Linked DNA regions of Lepisosteus oculatus. The protein of the gene in region 1 binds, or shares a complex with, the protein of each later gene. Links are inferred from orthologs where the notes say so. Each region holds a gene or a part of one and is shown on either strand. Other genes may lie near its edges.

The links. Proteins that work in one complex are often made in the same cells at the same time.
Region 2: snrpd2 (region 1) and lsm6 share a complex: the UniProt entries of both Homo sapiens proteins name them as parts of the U4/U6-U5 tri-snRNP complex. The link is inferred for Lepisosteus oculatus from reciprocal best matches to the Homo sapiens genes SNRPD2 and LSM6.

The regions. Positions count from the first base shown.
Region 1 is NC_090698.1:1,334,995-1,343,261, reverse strand, and holds the start of snrpd2 (small nuclear ribonucleoprotein Sm D2), read left to right. Parts: upstream 1-4,977; 5' UTR 4,978-5,123; coding exon 5,124-5,125; intron 5,126-6,001; coding exon 6,002-6,181; intron 6,182-7,822; coding exon 7,823-7,997; 3' UTR 7,998-8,267. UniProt on the Homo sapiens protein: Plays a role in pre-mRNA splicing as a core component of the spliceosomal U1, U2, U4 and U5 small nuclear ribonucleoproteins (snRNPs), the building blocks of the spliceosome.
Region 2 is NC_090696.1:27,004,538-27,012,242, forward strand, and holds the start of lsm6 (U6 snRNA-associated Sm-like protein LSm6), read right to left. Parts: upstream 3,046-7,705; 5' UTR 2,935-3,045; intron 2,310-2,934; 5' UTR 2,305-2,309; coding exon 2,211-2,304; intron 1,474-2,210; coding exon 1,360-1,473; intron 1-1,359. UniProt on the Homo sapiens protein: Plays a role in pre-mRNA splicing as component of the U4/U6-U5 tri-snRNP complex that is involved in spliceosome assembly, and as component of the precatalytic spliceosome (spliceosome B complex).

The DNA.
Region 1 (8,267 bases):
TGGTGTGTGAGCGCTGTGGCAGTGCGACCAGCACGCGCCTCGCTGTCCCCTCTTCCTCACGCACTCACGGCACTCCCCCTCTCCCAGGTTAGTGGTTAGCTCTCCCGGGGGCACCATTACATTAATAGGCCTGGCTCAGGTTGCACACGCAGGCAGCCGCTGCAGTCTGCCAGTCATCGAGGAAGGAGAGCGGACAGCAGCTCGGCAGACTTCATCAAGGCTGGTCTGAGCCGTTGGTGTCCAGCTGAGTCCAACTGCCAAATAGATACTGAATGCGCATCTTTTTCTGGAGTGATTTCAAGAGCAGGAGACTTACAATAGATCAACCTACAGTTATAGGAAGTGCTTTGATAACATAAGACAGTTTTAAAAAACAAATTGTGCCTATCTAGCTCACTTGCATGTTAGTAGGTAATTGATCTGAAGTTCTCGTCTAGATGTATCTTGAATGAAGCCAGGGTATTGGATGCTCTCACTAATCTTTGTGCAAAGAAATGTCACCTGTCCTCAGTTGTAAATGCACTTCCTTCGAGTTTGTGCTTGCGTCCTCTAGTTCGTTTTTCCCTGTGGATTCTGAAGAATCCTTAGTGTGAACTCTCCCAATGTCTTTGGGGATGGTGCCCAGGAAATGTCCTTCTTTCACAAACAGGGTGCCAGCAGTTCTGCCTGCAGCAGTATCTCGAGGAGGTGAAAAGCTGAGGCCATCATGTAGCTGACATGCAATGCACCTTTTGTTACCCTGCAAAGAACCCGTGCCTTTTGACACTCTTCCAGCTCCCCAAAAAGAAAAAGACTTTGACACGAACAGGTCGCTCACTTTGTTTTAGAGATAGTGAGATCATAAACTCGCCTCTTCTGTTACAAAGAGGGATGAGGTCATTGTCTGTTTAGGATGAACTTTTTCTCACCTTTTTTTGTCAGAAAGATTTGCAAACAGCACTGAAGAGAAGCACAGGAAGCTAGACGCTGCTGAGGACAGACTTGGCACCCAGTCAACAGGCTGTCAGTTACTGCCTGCAGCTCATTGCTTTATCTGCTGGTGAGCAGCTCAGAGAGCTCTCCGACTCACAGCAAAGTTCTGATGTTGTCAATGTGGCTCTCTGATCTGTCAGAATCGAACGAGAATGGATTCTAGTGGGAGGAAGAAAAACATGGTTATTGACACACTGTGCATCGGCAGAATTTTACAACCACCTGCACTGTCTGCCCAGGGCTGAGAGGTTTCTATAAATGATAGAAGAGAAGGAGATTCACAAAGCACTGAGAGAGAGAGAGTGTGAATGGGAAATGGAGAATGAAAGAGAGAGGGAGAGAGAGGTTGTGGGTGAGCTAAACCCACAAAGTCCCGAGGCTGCAGTAATTTGAGCTGGTCGACAATTAATCATGGTGATAAATAATGAGCTGCTGTCGTACAGAGCTAATTACTCAACACTGTCCTGATGTGGGAGACTGTAAATCATCATCTGACTGGTCTGCAGCCGGATTGCTGTGACGGCGCCTGAGAGCATCTGTTGTGCCCACTGTTCTCCCAAAGGACAGGACAGACCAGCCCATGGGGCCTGGAGAGAGCCAGGACAGGACAGGACAGGACAGGGCCAGGCCAGGCTGGCGCAGCGTGCCGCTGGTTCAGACCTCCAGCACAGGAGAAGAGAGAGACTGCGTTTCCGCTGCTGGCACTAGATACCTAAATCAGGGGTCATGAGTTTGCCTGAATAGCTGTCAGCAATGAAGATAAAAACAGGTTTAATAGCTCGGTACTTCTTAACCTGCCTTTACGTAAGTTAATCTGCTCATAAACACACCCACATTATCAGAAGCCTCCATGAGTAATGTGCTGGAGAAGCTCAACCTGCTCCGGGAGCGGATTCAGAGACTGCAGGAGAACCAGTGGGTGGCGCTGTCGGGGAGAAGATGCCCTACAAGGGAGAACTGGAGCCCCAGTAAAATGACAGATGTGGCCAATTGGCACGGTTTTCCACCTTGCTCTGCCACACCTTCACCCCGATTCTTCAGGCTTCACTGTGATCTCTCTCCCCTGCGGGAAGGAGAAGGAGGCTTGAGTGTGCTGCCCAGCTGTCATATGGACATGAGGGTCTAACAGTGTGTTTGACGCAAAACCTGGGGGAAGGACTCTGCTCCTGGAAAGCTGTGTGATGGATCGCTCAGAAATGGGAATTCCTTTTTTTTGGTCTGAAAGCCGTATGGAAACAAGGCTGCCATTTTTCTGAGGTTGCTGTATCAAGAGACGAAGGCAAACACTAAAGCTGCTGTCTGCTGCACATCGCAAACCCCACACAGGACGCTCTGCACCTGTGGAATTCACTGCCACTGGTGGCTTAAACACCCATCACCTCCCCTCAGCGTCTGCACTCCTGGTCTCACTGGATCAGTCTGTGCTGCTTTACTCCTTTCCTTTGTCGCCGTGCTGTGTTGACCTGGGCTATTGTACGGAGCTTTGAGTTTCTCAACACGTTTGTTCGATAATAATGCACTGGTGGGATTTTGACACGTTGCCAGCTCCACAGCCGCTGGCAGGGTGCCACACGACCTGCAAATGCGACGCAACGTTCCCGGCGCTTCGGGTTTGTAATATTTGCCTGCTGGCTGAATGAAGGATGTGATTCATTCCGGGCCAGCGGAATTCTTACGGACAGCATGGAGGCTCTGCATACACTGGAGGCCTGCAAGGGGTGATGGGAAGAGTGGGAGACACTGAGCTTCCTGGGATCAGTGTCACACACCCCTTGAGCAGTCAGCAGGCTGCCGAAGGGCTCGGAGAGCTCTCATGTGGCTCTTTTTTGATGTCCACTCTACCAGGCCAGTCAGCTGCTCCTGTGGTCGCGCGGTGGTTTTTTGTCTCCTGTGCTGTTCAATGGGATCTTGCAGGCGGTAGCTCTTGCGATGGCTCTGGGCAGCACGGGGAGACCGGAGAGGCGCGCAGTCGGAGACGAGCTCCGCGTTTGAAGAGGGTGAGCGAGGGAGGGGAGGGGAGGCGCTGGGCAGCCCCCCAGGCGCCGGGCTGTCTCGTGCCAGTAAGCCAATCCCCAGCGGCCTCTGCCTGCGCCTTTACAATGGCAGGGCATTCTCCGGCTCCTGAGCCAGCACAGATACCCATCTCCCTCTCCTCTCCGGCTCCCAACAAAGGGACACCTGTGTGTGCGGCCTCGCCCCCTCCCGCTCCAGTCCGCCCCTCCCTCCCTCGCCTGCGCAGTAGGAAGGAGGGGCGCTGTTCTGTTCTACCTTCTCCCCTCTGGACCTCTTGCACGGTCTTGAGCTGTCCATCAGAAACTCTGGGCTCCTCCTCTTATGAAGTCTCCTCTGAGTCTGGGCCTCAGCAATCTGCATCACTCTGGCTGAAGAAGAGTTTCTTATTCTGGATTATTCTAATCTATTTGACCCTATCTTTAGATCTTCTAGTATTTTAAACACCAATTGCATCTGATTTTCCTGTGCTCTAGACTGAAGGGATTTAGTTCCTTGAACACGTCTAGGACAATCCCTTGAGACTAGGAATCATTCTAGTCACTCTTCACTGAGCTCATTCTGCACTGTGATAATGATAACGTTCTTTTGTTCTGTGTGGTGATCAGAACTGAATACATTTTATGAACGCTGAGTGGGTTTTGACATTTCATCAATTGTATTATGCAAGATGAGACCACATGCAGAAGATCAGACATTCTCAGATATCACACACCCACTCGCCCACACGCGCACACAGGGACAGTTACAGACAACAACTCATCCAGCCTGAACATCTCTGAGAGCTGAGAGGAAATGGAAACACCAAAAAAGTGTTTCCTAAAGAGCCATCTCTGTGTGCTGTTGTTTGAGTTAACAATTACGGTTTATATGTCTTGCAGTGTACTGCTTTTGTTTCATTTGGAAGTTGTCTTGCCTACCATAAAATGGAGTGTTTTGGAAATTGTTGAACATATCACAAAATAGGAAACAAATGCATTTATTATTGATGTTGCAAGGAAGCTATAGTTATTTTTATCAAAACTAATCTGTGCACTGTGTACAGCCCTGATACTTATTTTTCTGTTCATCCGTTTTCTGACAGCTTCATCCAATTCAGGATCAGTTGGGACCAGGAAGCAGTAGCACTAGGCAGGGAACACCCTGGACAGGATGCCAGTCCATCACTGAGCCACACAGACAAAATCGTACCAGCCTTGATTTTCCCAGAATCCAATTAACTACCAACGTGTCCTTGGGCTGTGGGAAGAAACGGGATCACCTGGAGTTTACCCTTGCAAACTCCACACAGACAGTACCCCAGGTCTGGAACTGAACCCTGGGGCCCAGCACTGTGAGGGAGCAATACTGACTGTACCACCATAGACAGTGAATTCATCACACACTTCATTACAAAATACTTATTAAACAGTAGAAAGGTTACTAGTTTAGTAAAAAATTGGACAAAATATATTTTATTTAAGTGTCTCCCTAAACATGTGTGTTTTTCATTGTTTTAATGAACATCATTAAAGAAAAACATTTTTTCAAAGTTTTAATGAACATCAAATAACACATATAAGGAGAAAGGGTACCCAAAAAAGTCAAGTGGAAAAAACACAGAACAATATGTTGCCGGAGTTATTTTTCACGTACTTATTGTAATTTAAGTGATATGGCATTCTGGGCTTGTTAGCATTAGAGGAGGGGTAGCATTAGTCCTTTTTGTTTTTGAATGTGATATTTACCTATTATTAACAACATTAAATATAAATATTTTTCGATATTACATATTGAAAAGCATAACATGATAACAAGCTCCTTAAATTTAACATTCACATTATTAATCTAAGATGACTAACAAAGTTTTGCAAGCCTACAGTCTTTAAACGTTGCTGTGGATGACACGCTCTGGGTGACACTCACGGCTCCTGCCAAGTCCGTGCGCGAAGAGACGGGCACCGTGCGCTCGCGAGAGATCGGCCTCCGAACGGAAGTGTGCAGAGCGCCTGCGTGGTAACCCGGAAGCGCTTGTAGAAAGTGGAAGGAGCGGACGGTAGTTCTGTGGACTTGCGCTGGTGGGAAGAGGGGTTGTTTTTTGGCGAATTATTTTCAACACAGTAAACATTTCGTCTTATAATTAACATCGCCAAGTAAAAAACATGTAAGTAAGCAGTAGTTTGTTGTAAATTCAGTCGGGGACGGATGTTAATGTGAACCGCGTCGCCGTGTTTGAAGCCCATGGAGGCGGCCGGCGCCTTTGTTAAAGCTTGCAGCGCGTTTTCGGTCAAGCATCGTGGTTCTCAAATCCCGCGTGGGGTGTTTTCTTTTTAATTTCTTATCATGTAATGCCCACAGTCTTGCATTTCCTCGGCTGTGAATTGACCTACGCGCTACGGTCGTGTGTTTCCTGCATTTAGCAACGGGGCCGAGACTGCTGAGCTCGGAGCACGGTTGTATAGAAATACGGGTGTTCACGGTAGTCGTTTCGCAAACGTAAACTTTAAATAACAGTTTGACTTTAATTGGCTGGGAGCGATCCTCATAATTACTCTCTCCTGGGCTGTATATTCGGCTGCAGGTTTCTACAGTGTCACGGAAGATGCCGTTTGGTAACTAGTAGTGAACAAACACATATCGAACAAACTTTAATACCGGTATGCATACCCTTTTTCTTGCAAAACGGAGTAAAGAAGTCCCAATCTGGAAAATAGAAAATCCCAACAGTTCGCTTGCGGAGCCTTCCTCGTGTGTGAGGGAGGAAGAGGAAAGGAGGATGACTATGGACCAACTGGTTTGTGAAGAGAATAATAAGAGGGCAAGTGAGGAGGTATCCAGAGGAGCGGTAATCTGAGGTTGAAGTCCAGAGAGAAGTCAGGGATGTGTGGAATGTGCCGACCCAGGCGAGAGTTAAACTCACACGCTGGCCCAGATCCCCTCTGGAGCTTTTTTACAGTGCCGGTCTTGCTGTCTCTCTGCCTGGCCGTTAAGTGCAGCGCAGTGCCCCTCTGATCTCTCCCTCTCTCTCTCCCGCGGGCAGGAGTCTGCTGAACAAGCCCAAGTCGGAGATGACCCCCGAGGAGCTGCAGAAGCGCGAGGAGGAGGAGTTCAACACCGGGCCCCTGTCCGTGCTCACCCAGTCGGTCAAAAACAACACGCAGGTGCTCATCAACTGCCGCAACAACAAGAAGCTGCTGGGCCGCGTTAAGGCCTTCGACAGGTACGGGCCGCCGCCGCCCCGTCCCGCACACACCCCCCCATCCCGGCTCCTCCGGGAGGCAGCCGCCAGCCCTTTTGTGTAACTGATGGCTGATTTAAACTAGGATGGCCAGCAGCTCTATCACCCTGCAGCTCCCCGCTGGCAGCCCGCTGAAGCTCAGCAGTGTCATCCTGGTCAGTACCTGGATGGGAGACTCCGGGGAAAAACTGTTTACTGCCGGAAGAGGTTGGACCAGTAGGGGGCGCTCACCCTGCGGTCCATGTGGGTCCTAATGCCCCAGTATAGTGACAGGGACACTATACTGTAAAAAAGGCGCCATCCTTCAGATGAATAAAACCGAGGTCCTGACTCTCTGTGGTCATTAAAGATCCCAGGGTGTTTCCCCGGCGTTCTGGACAAATTTTCCATTTATTCTGTGATGCCGAATCAGTCAGGATGGTTATTATTGACTGCTGGCTTGATAGCATAGATAACAGACCTCCTTGGGCTCCTGGCACTCCCAGGCAGAGGTGCCTGTGTCCCATCGCGCCTGTTGCTGAAATAAGAAGGCACCCTGTTGTTATTTTCTGCCCTAGTTCAGGGAGTCACAGGCAGCTGTGGTAATAACCTTTCCCTTGGAAGACGGTCGTGTCTTTTATTTCCCTCGCTGATGTAACTCAGTGGCTCCTAGCCCTGGAGGAGAAATACCCCCTCCTTGCTTGCATTTATACCCTGCTGTAAGTTTAACCTTATACGGTTGTATGCAAACATCTGGGCGCCCCAGGCCACATTACGTGTTTTGTTCATTTTCTAAGTGAAAATAAGTTAACAAAACCTCTGCAGCGAACAAACTTAAACTCGACATATTTCTGCTGATTTCAGTGCAGTCACTATTTACTTGCTGAATTTAACAGATTGGAAAAATAAAACCGTGAATTGAACCTAATTGACTCGTTAATCTAAGTCAGGTGGTGACAATTCCAGAGCTTAATAAATTCTGACTCTTCAAACCTCTCAGGGTGTTGTGCTGTATTTAGCAAACCAAATCCTCCACAATTTTACTACCAAACTATTGCATGCCTGTTGCTGGAATTAACTATATGGTATATATTTTATTTTATGGTTTATTTTTTGTTGTTATAAAGCACGTTAGGAATAAGTCCTCATTGTCCAGTTGCTTAAAATCCAAACACCTGAATGCTTATGAGTTGTTGATGCTGAGGAAGAGCTCAGGTGGGCTGATACCAGAGGAGATGGGTCTGAGTTTATTAACTGGAACAAAATCATCCTCCAGTCCTCAGTGTGTTGTAAGTGTACATTGGATTAAGATTATTTGGTCAACAACAAACTGGAAAAGATTGATATTCCCCACTGAGAAATTATTGTAATTTGATCCTTTTTCTTTGGAGAAAGGGGAATTTGTCCCAAGGCCTGTAGCTGGCGTGAGGAGAGCGTCTCATGTGGACATTACTTATCAGCTTACCAACGTGCTCCTGCTGGTTTGCAAGGTCACACCGCACGCGACCAGGCCCGCATGATGGACACTGAAACCAGACTCGTGTTCTCCTGGCGTCCGGGGGGGTGGAGGGACCAGCATCTCCGAAGCCCCCGGGAGAGCGCCTCATCCGCACTGACCCCCGTCTCTCCTCTCCCCCCTCGCAGGCACTGCAACATGGTGCTGGAGAACGTGAAGGAGATGTGGACCGAGGTTCCGAAGAGCGGCAAGGGAAAGAAGAAGTCCAAGCCCGTTAACAAGGACCGCTACATTTCCAAGATGTTCCTGCGGGGTGATTCGGTCATCGTGGTGCTGAGGAACCCCCTCATCACCGGAAAATAGGTTTCTTTTGGTTTTGGAAGGGGGTACGTTTTGTATGTTTAGGATGTTTTTTTTTTCCTGAATTGTTGATTTTTTTTTAAAAATAAATGTATGTACAGACAAAGCAAGTGTTTGTTTTTAATGTATGAACATGTCCACCATTGTCATCTGCATGTGTGGTCACTCCAGTGTTTTATAGCTTTGGTCAGACTCCAGTTTTAACACGCGTTTCTCCTGCTTTGGGCCAGATTAATCTGGGACGTGGGACGAATATATCACCCAACATGTTTT
Region 2 (7,705 bases), on another chromosome or scaffold:
CCTTTTCCTCCAAAAGAGCTTAACCTATGGAAAGAGACCCAATTCACCCATATCTTAAGAGCAGCACCCACCTGGACGATGCAGAACAAATGGGGAACAGAGAAATGACTTCAACTGAATTAATGAGAAAATCTAGAGAGGGCAAAATCGTAGAAGCTTAAAACCTCTTCTCTGCCCCATGGGACAGTTAATGACCAAGTGCTCCATAACCACACTGGGGAAACTGGTTTTGAACTACAGAGCTGTCATTATTGGCTGCTACAAGACAGCAGCAAGGAATGTCTCCAATTCAAGGAATGACCAGGCCCAGCCCAGCTTTGTCTCTGAGATCTGACAAGATATACAAGTCAGTTGGGAATGCTGCCATCATGATATTCACAATAATCTACTAAACATTAGTATTCCGTTAAAGCAACAAATTAACGATTTGCCATTTTTTGTCTAGTGGATTCTGCATTTTTCGGAACAATCTCTGCAAAATGATTTTAAACGATTTAGCAGTTGCCTTGATACATGTCAACATACTTGATTATTTATGGCATGATTCTTGATTATGCATCTTAAAGCACCACAATGTCAAAGACAACACTATAGTATACATTGCAAGTGATGTAGTTCATTACAAAATCCTACTGAAATCGGAAACTAATACAAATAAGTTATGCTACAGATGGCTAGATATAAAAGTAAATAGAAAAGACAGTTAATTCCTTATACTTGTATAACTTTTCTAGACACTCCACTCAAAAGCACTTTACAGCTAATGGGGACTCCCCTCCACCACCACCACCTGGATGATACAATGGCAGGCAAAGAGTACCAATATGTTCACCATACACCAGCTATCAGTGGGGAGAACAGAGTGATAAAACCAAAGCATAGATGCGGATTACTGGGAGGCCAAGATTGGTAAAGGCCAGGGGGAAATATGGACTACTCTTTTTGAGATATGCCCAGAGATTTTTAATGACAATGGACTGTCGGGGCCTCGGTTTTGTATCTCACCTGAAGGATTGCATCTTTTTTACAGTATAGTGTCCCCATCACTATACCGTAAGTGGGACTTTAGGAGCCACAGAGACCACAGGTGCAAGAGCTACCTAGTGGTCCCACTAACACCTCTTCCAGCAGCGACCTTAGCTTTTCCCAGGAGGCCTCCCATCCAGGTACTGGCCAGGCTCACACCTGCTGAGCTTCAGTGGGTTACCAGTTGTGAGCTGTGATATAGCTGCCATTATAGAAATGATAAAAACCATTTATAATCTATGTTGGCACGACTACTAAGACCAGCTTGTTGCATATTCTTGCTCCACCTCACCTATGAAAATGCTACAAAAAAAGTGAAAAAGGCCAACCTACCATTGTTTCCCCGCAGGAAAGCATCTCCATACTTATTCTTCAGCTGCCCATTGACATACTCCTCTGTCTGTTCCACAGCAATGTTCATGTAGCCATCCAGACAGGCCAAGACTCCTGCACATAGACAGTGGAAAGGCTCATTAAGTAATGCCACAGTTCCCTTCTCACTTTATCCAAGAAGCACACTGCCTTTTAAAGCCTTAAAATTAAAACAAATTCCAACAGACTAATCGAATGTTATTCAGTCCAATTCACCACTACAGTCTCCTGCTAGACTGGAGAACTGATACAGTACGAGGCTTTATTTTAAAACTGTCACAGCAGATACTGCCAGTACCAATGGACCATACCCAAGACACTTCAGGACATACCACAACATGCTGTGCAACATCTATTTGGAATGGCAGTACCCACACCCCAACATGAACTGGTCAAGAACGCATCAAGAAGCATGTTATTTCCACATCTGCAGCTCATTTACTGGGCGTGGGGGTGTCTCATTGCCATTCTCGATTTAATTTTATTTTGGATGTGGGGGTTGCTATGCACCAGTTTTGAAAGATGCAAAGGAACATCCAGAGAGTAGTTCAGTGTCTCACAGTGCCTCAGCTGAAAAGCCTTAATCAAGGTTGTACTTTAGAGCAGTTTCAAACTAGTACAAGAATGACTCATACTCCACTTGTGAAAGAGTGGAACCAGAGCTCCGACTGGGCATTTATGTGGCCACTATTCAACAGCGGAAGGATGTGCTCTCACTTATTAAAGTAAATGCTTCCTATTGTACCAAATGTGTATGGCCGTGGTTTAAAGATGACTGGATACTCCAACTCCAAAAGTTACCCAAGTCTTACCTCTGTAATCGACACCAGAGTTCAGTTTCACCACTACTGGTCTTCCGATGATTTGTTTCAGAAAATCACTAGGGGTTTGCTTCCGGAGACTCATGTCGGCTGGCGAGGCACGTCATAAAGTTATTAGACAGGACGGTAATGGTAGAACGACATTACAAAACAACGATATATTGTAGGATAACTACTTGGAACAGTACAGAAGTAGTATATACCGATACATTCAAAACGTAGAGATTAACTACACAAGCACAAACGCAGCAAGCTCATTTGATTGACAACAGCAATGAAGCCTCCTATTCTAGCACAATTAATGTAACTGCGTCGGCAGGTGTATATTACAGTAGGACTAGCATTTAAGTAAAACACACAACCCAGCTTAAAAACTAACTATACAGAAAGAGCATCATTTTAAGCTTCGTAATTAGAGTAAACTTAAAATCGATAGTATTACGAACCAAGAGAGAGTTCAAGAGCTTTTTTTTTAAAATATGACGGCGATAGCTATCAGAAATGTATAAAATAACATTCGACATAACCATTCCTGCATGCTCTATCGCTACAATAAAATTCGTCAGGAAAAGGCCTTCGCTCCACATACAATACCGAAAACTGCTCTTAACCCCTTGAAAAATGTTTGTAGTAAAGCTGCACATCACTTATAAACGTCACCTAAACTCCACATATTAATAATACCGGGCTAAATACACACACAATTAAAACTTACCGTTTCGTTTCAAACACGATTTATCTCAAAACTCTAAGAGAGCGATGGAGCCAATAGCCGATTTATACGCTCGGGTTTTCTACGGCAGCCGCAAAGGGAAACACATTCTCCGAGTAACGCAAAGTCGAAGTTAATCTTCGGACTCCAACCACGACACTGAAAAAACTATTGGAAAAGGCTTTTCTGGCGAGCTATGACGCTCCTGATAGAAAGTACAATTCAAACAAATCTGGTTTGGCAAAACGCCATTTCTAGTATTCGTACTGTAATCCTTATGTGCTGGAGTGAGTTATATGGTATTTTGTGCAACTCTGGCTGTGGGTTTTGGTAGAATGAAACAAGACATACTATTGAAAACAGCAGAAAAACGTTGAACGCTGAAGGAACCGGCAAAGGCTTTATGTTTAGGACTAATCACAAAGTTACAGTACATATTACAGCGTGCTTCTTTCCAGGTTGCAGATAAGATTAAGGGGTATTTAGGGTAAAATGGTTTACTAAACCTAACCTAAAGATATCTAACTTAAATAATTCTTAATAATGCATTTAGGAAGATTTTTTAATACAATGAGCAGTGCCTTGATACCATTTGTTTAACTGCATTACATTTGCCCTTTCAGCTGTTTAGTACCGGTATCCTCTAAAACTTTCATGGAATGAAAATTCGTTACATTTATACTGCATATGATTTTTTTTTTGTCTCAAATGATCCCAAAGTGCTTTAATGACCCACTTAAACCATCTACCACTGTAGGGCAGCACCTACATGGATGACACCTGACAGCTATGATTCGCAGCAGTTCAGGTAAAGAAGTGAGCATTTACATGTCACTGTATCAGACCACATTGAGGGGAAGACAATCTTGGATTTTAAATGTTCTTATTAACTGCATGGGACATTTTAAGAAATTTGATGTTGATCTTTATCTTAATACTGTAGTTTTAATAACAGATCACCATACTTGCATATGTGTATTTTAATCATGCCTTTCCTCCAGAGATAAAGCTGTATAAGCTGTATTTTTTACATCAAGAAAGTTTAATATAACTTTCATGTAGAAATGGGTTCATAAAATCATATTTGTTGTAGGTGTAAAGGGTGGAAGGGTGGTGCAATGGTTAGCTTTGTTGCTTTGTGGCGCTGGGGCACAGGTGCTCTCTGCATGGAGTTGGTGTGTCCTCCCTGTGTTCCCTTCAGTTTCCTCTGGATGCTATGGTTTCCTCCCACAGTTCAAAGACATACTGGAAGAATTAATTGGCGTGAGTATGTGTGTTTTAGTCTGTGTCTGCCCTGTGTGTGATGGACTAGTGTCCCATCCAGGGTGTATAAGGCTCTGGATTTCCTTATGACCCTGTACTGGATAACAAAATGATGGTTAAGATAATACTGGTTTAGAACATGGATGGTTCAGTGGCACTGAAGTCTGTTTGAGAAGATGACGCTCTTGGATTAACTACCCTGCCAAATGGACTAGGTGGGCCATAAAGCCTCTTGTCTATAACTGTTCTATGCTAAGTCATCTACTTGAACTCCAGACAATGCAGAACTCTTCTGCAGCAGAAGGCCCACCCTGTGGTGTAGCAATATCTGCTGATGTCCAGAGGGTGGCTCTGTCTATACCCTAAGCCAATGAGCAACCATGATCAAATTCCAGCAGAGGAATGCAGAGCACAAATGCAGCTATGAGAGGCTTGAAAAATGACATATCTTGATGTCTCATGTTTTGCTTGTGAGGGGGTTTTAATTGATAATACAGTAAAAGTTATATATTAGACAGTTTTGGCACCAGCTTGGGTTCAAACAAATTATTGGAGCTAAGCATAAACTCTAGAAGTTACTGAGCAAGGTCAATAGGCCTCTTCCATATTCTCATGGACAATGGGAAGCTTGAGAAAAACAGTAAATAGGCAATTGCTTAAAGCCCAAATCTTTTCTTAAATCTGCATCTGTGAATGGAATAAATAATCCTCCACTGTAAACCCACACTCTAAAAGGAGACAGCCATTGGTTTATATACAAAAATCAATTCAAGTACAAACAACATTGGCATGGGTGGCACAGTGGTTAGCATTGCTATCTGTATGGTGTTTGTATGTTCTCTCTTCATGAGTGTTTTCTTTAGGTGCTCTGCTTTTCTTCTACAGTCCAAAAACATACTGGTAGGTGAATTTGCTTCTGGAAAAATTGTCCCTGCTGGGAGCTTGTGCTTGTGTTTGTGTCTGTGTGCACTGTGATCGATTGGCATCTGTTCAGTGTGTATTCTGCCTTGTGCCTGGTGCTTGTTGGGATAGGTTCTGAATCACCCATCTCCTTGTGTTGGATAGAAAATAGATACGCTACGATAACTTTATTGGTCATATACAATTTCTTGTATTAGGAATTAGTCTTTTCACATACCCCAACTTGCTCTCCATGAGAGAGGCAGACAGGGAGAGAAGCTTGGGGTCAGAGCACGGGGTCAGCCATTTACTGTATATAGTGCCCCTGGAGCAGTAGGGGTTAAGGACTTTGCTCAGGGGCCCAACAGAGTAGGATTCCTCTGCCAGCTGCGGGATACAAACCAGCAACCTTCCAGCCACAGGCGCAGATCCTTAGCCACAGAGCTACCCCACCGCCAAGATGAACAGCATGAATGAACAAATGGACAAGGTTGACATATATTGCCTGGCAGTTATGAGAAGATGCAAGATTCAAGATTTCTTTATTTGCCACATACCACAAGTGTATTGGAATGCTTACTTGTTCAGCTATAACATTAGAGAGAGAAAAAATAGGCACAAATGCCATACAGACATGGACAATAAATGTAGACAATAGACATTAGAATATAGCCTACGGGACATAGTGCAAACAGTGCAGTACCTTAAAGTGCAGGTGCTAATATGTGCAGGTGCTAATTTGAGCTGTTTATGATGCGGACTACTTGGGGAAAGAAATACCTCCTACCAGAACCCAGGAGTGAAAACAGATCATGGCCAGGGTGAATTGGGTCCCAAATTAAAGCTCGAACCCGGTTGTGGCAGTGGAAGAGATATATCTGGTCGATGGAGGGTAGCTTGGTACCAGTGATTTTCTGCGCGGACTTCACAACCCTCTGTATGGCTTTTCTGTCCTGTACTGTAGCTCCACCATACCAAACCGTAATACCACCAGTCAGGACTCAATCGTATTACGGTAAAAATTGGTGAGTGTTGTCTTGCTCATCCCCCACTTCCTTAACTATCACAGAAGGGAATCCTTTCCCTACATTTGAGCTGTCGGTGCCCAATGCCTTGTAAGTTTTGGCTTCTCAATGAGGACTCCAGCTGGTAAAGCCTATCTGCAACACCACAGCCCTGAATCACACCAATCAGACCACTCTTGTCCCTGCCACCTCAGCTCTCCTTTTCAGTTTGCCATTTGAGAATAGTGTTGAATGCTGAGATCCAGAAAGTTCAAGTCTCAAATATCTGTTTGAATGTCTTGTGTTTTTTTCAGTATGTCCATGTGTGTGTAGGACAGCAATGGCTTAAGTAAAAAGTACAATAGTGACTCCTAGAGGTTAGACCATTATTAATAATGACTCCTGGAGGTTAGAGCATTATTTATGCACCACTGAACCAAAAAACAGACTGGATTCATTTAAGGTGATTTAATAAAGAGTCATAATGGTTATATACATGTAAATACCATTGTAATGTGTGTTTGTAAGTGTACATGTTAACTGCCAGGTGCACGTACTGTAGCACTGTCTTTTGTAGAAATAATAGCTATGTTTGAATTTGATTTTTGTGATATTGCTATGTGGAATATGAACTTATTGCTCTTTTGTTCATCAGTATAACCTTAAACATTATTATCTGGTGTAAAGTGTTCAGAATCCATAACAATTTCTATTTACAGCAAGGTTTCACAGATTTTGTATGCTTTATGATAAATACAAATAAATATTTTTGTCTCAGGTTATTAAGGCAATTTACAATGTCTCTCTGAAGTACTGTAGCATGCACATCTGTACCAACACTGGTATGTCAGAAAAGCTTACTGCAGTACACAATTTGCGGTATCAAGCTTTTCCGCTAATGGCAATATTAAATGGGGAGCATTTAAGAAGTGACATTCTAATTTTTTTTTCAATTGTATTGGTATTGATAGTGGTTGAAGCCGTAGGCACTGCTGGTTATAGGGAAGAATGTTAGTTCTACATGGATCAGCGGGAAACCTTCATGCTCAGATTTTTGCCTCTCTTTCCTAACCAAGTCTATTTTGGAATCCGTCATCATCAGGGATATTATTTTGAGGGCTCATGTCCTAAGGTAAGACTCTTGCCAGTTCCCAAGGGTCCTGGGAAATAACATTCTTTATATAAAGGCGACAAAGCCCCAATGGCAGAGAGTTACTGTACAAATGTTATTACTGTAGCATTTTCAAAGCCCCTTTTCTTTTTAGAATGTAAGGTAAAGGGAGTCTCATACACACATCAGTATTATATTAAATGTGAACAGTGTAAAAAACACCTAATTTTCTATTAAATAGATCTATTTGTTTGTACTTTTACAGCACTCAAGACATTGTAACACCAGAGCTCGCAATGTCTTTTCCTCTTTGTGCACGTGTATTCAAATTCTCTTTTACATTTCTTTTTTTTTACATTTTGTATCTTAAACCTGCCTCATATTGAAGACAAAAGAAAAATGAATAAATGCTTCTTCTCTCTGCCCTTCATAGTCTGTCTACTTGATTTTAAAGAGGACAAAAAAATAAAATTCATTAAAAATATTTATTTTCATT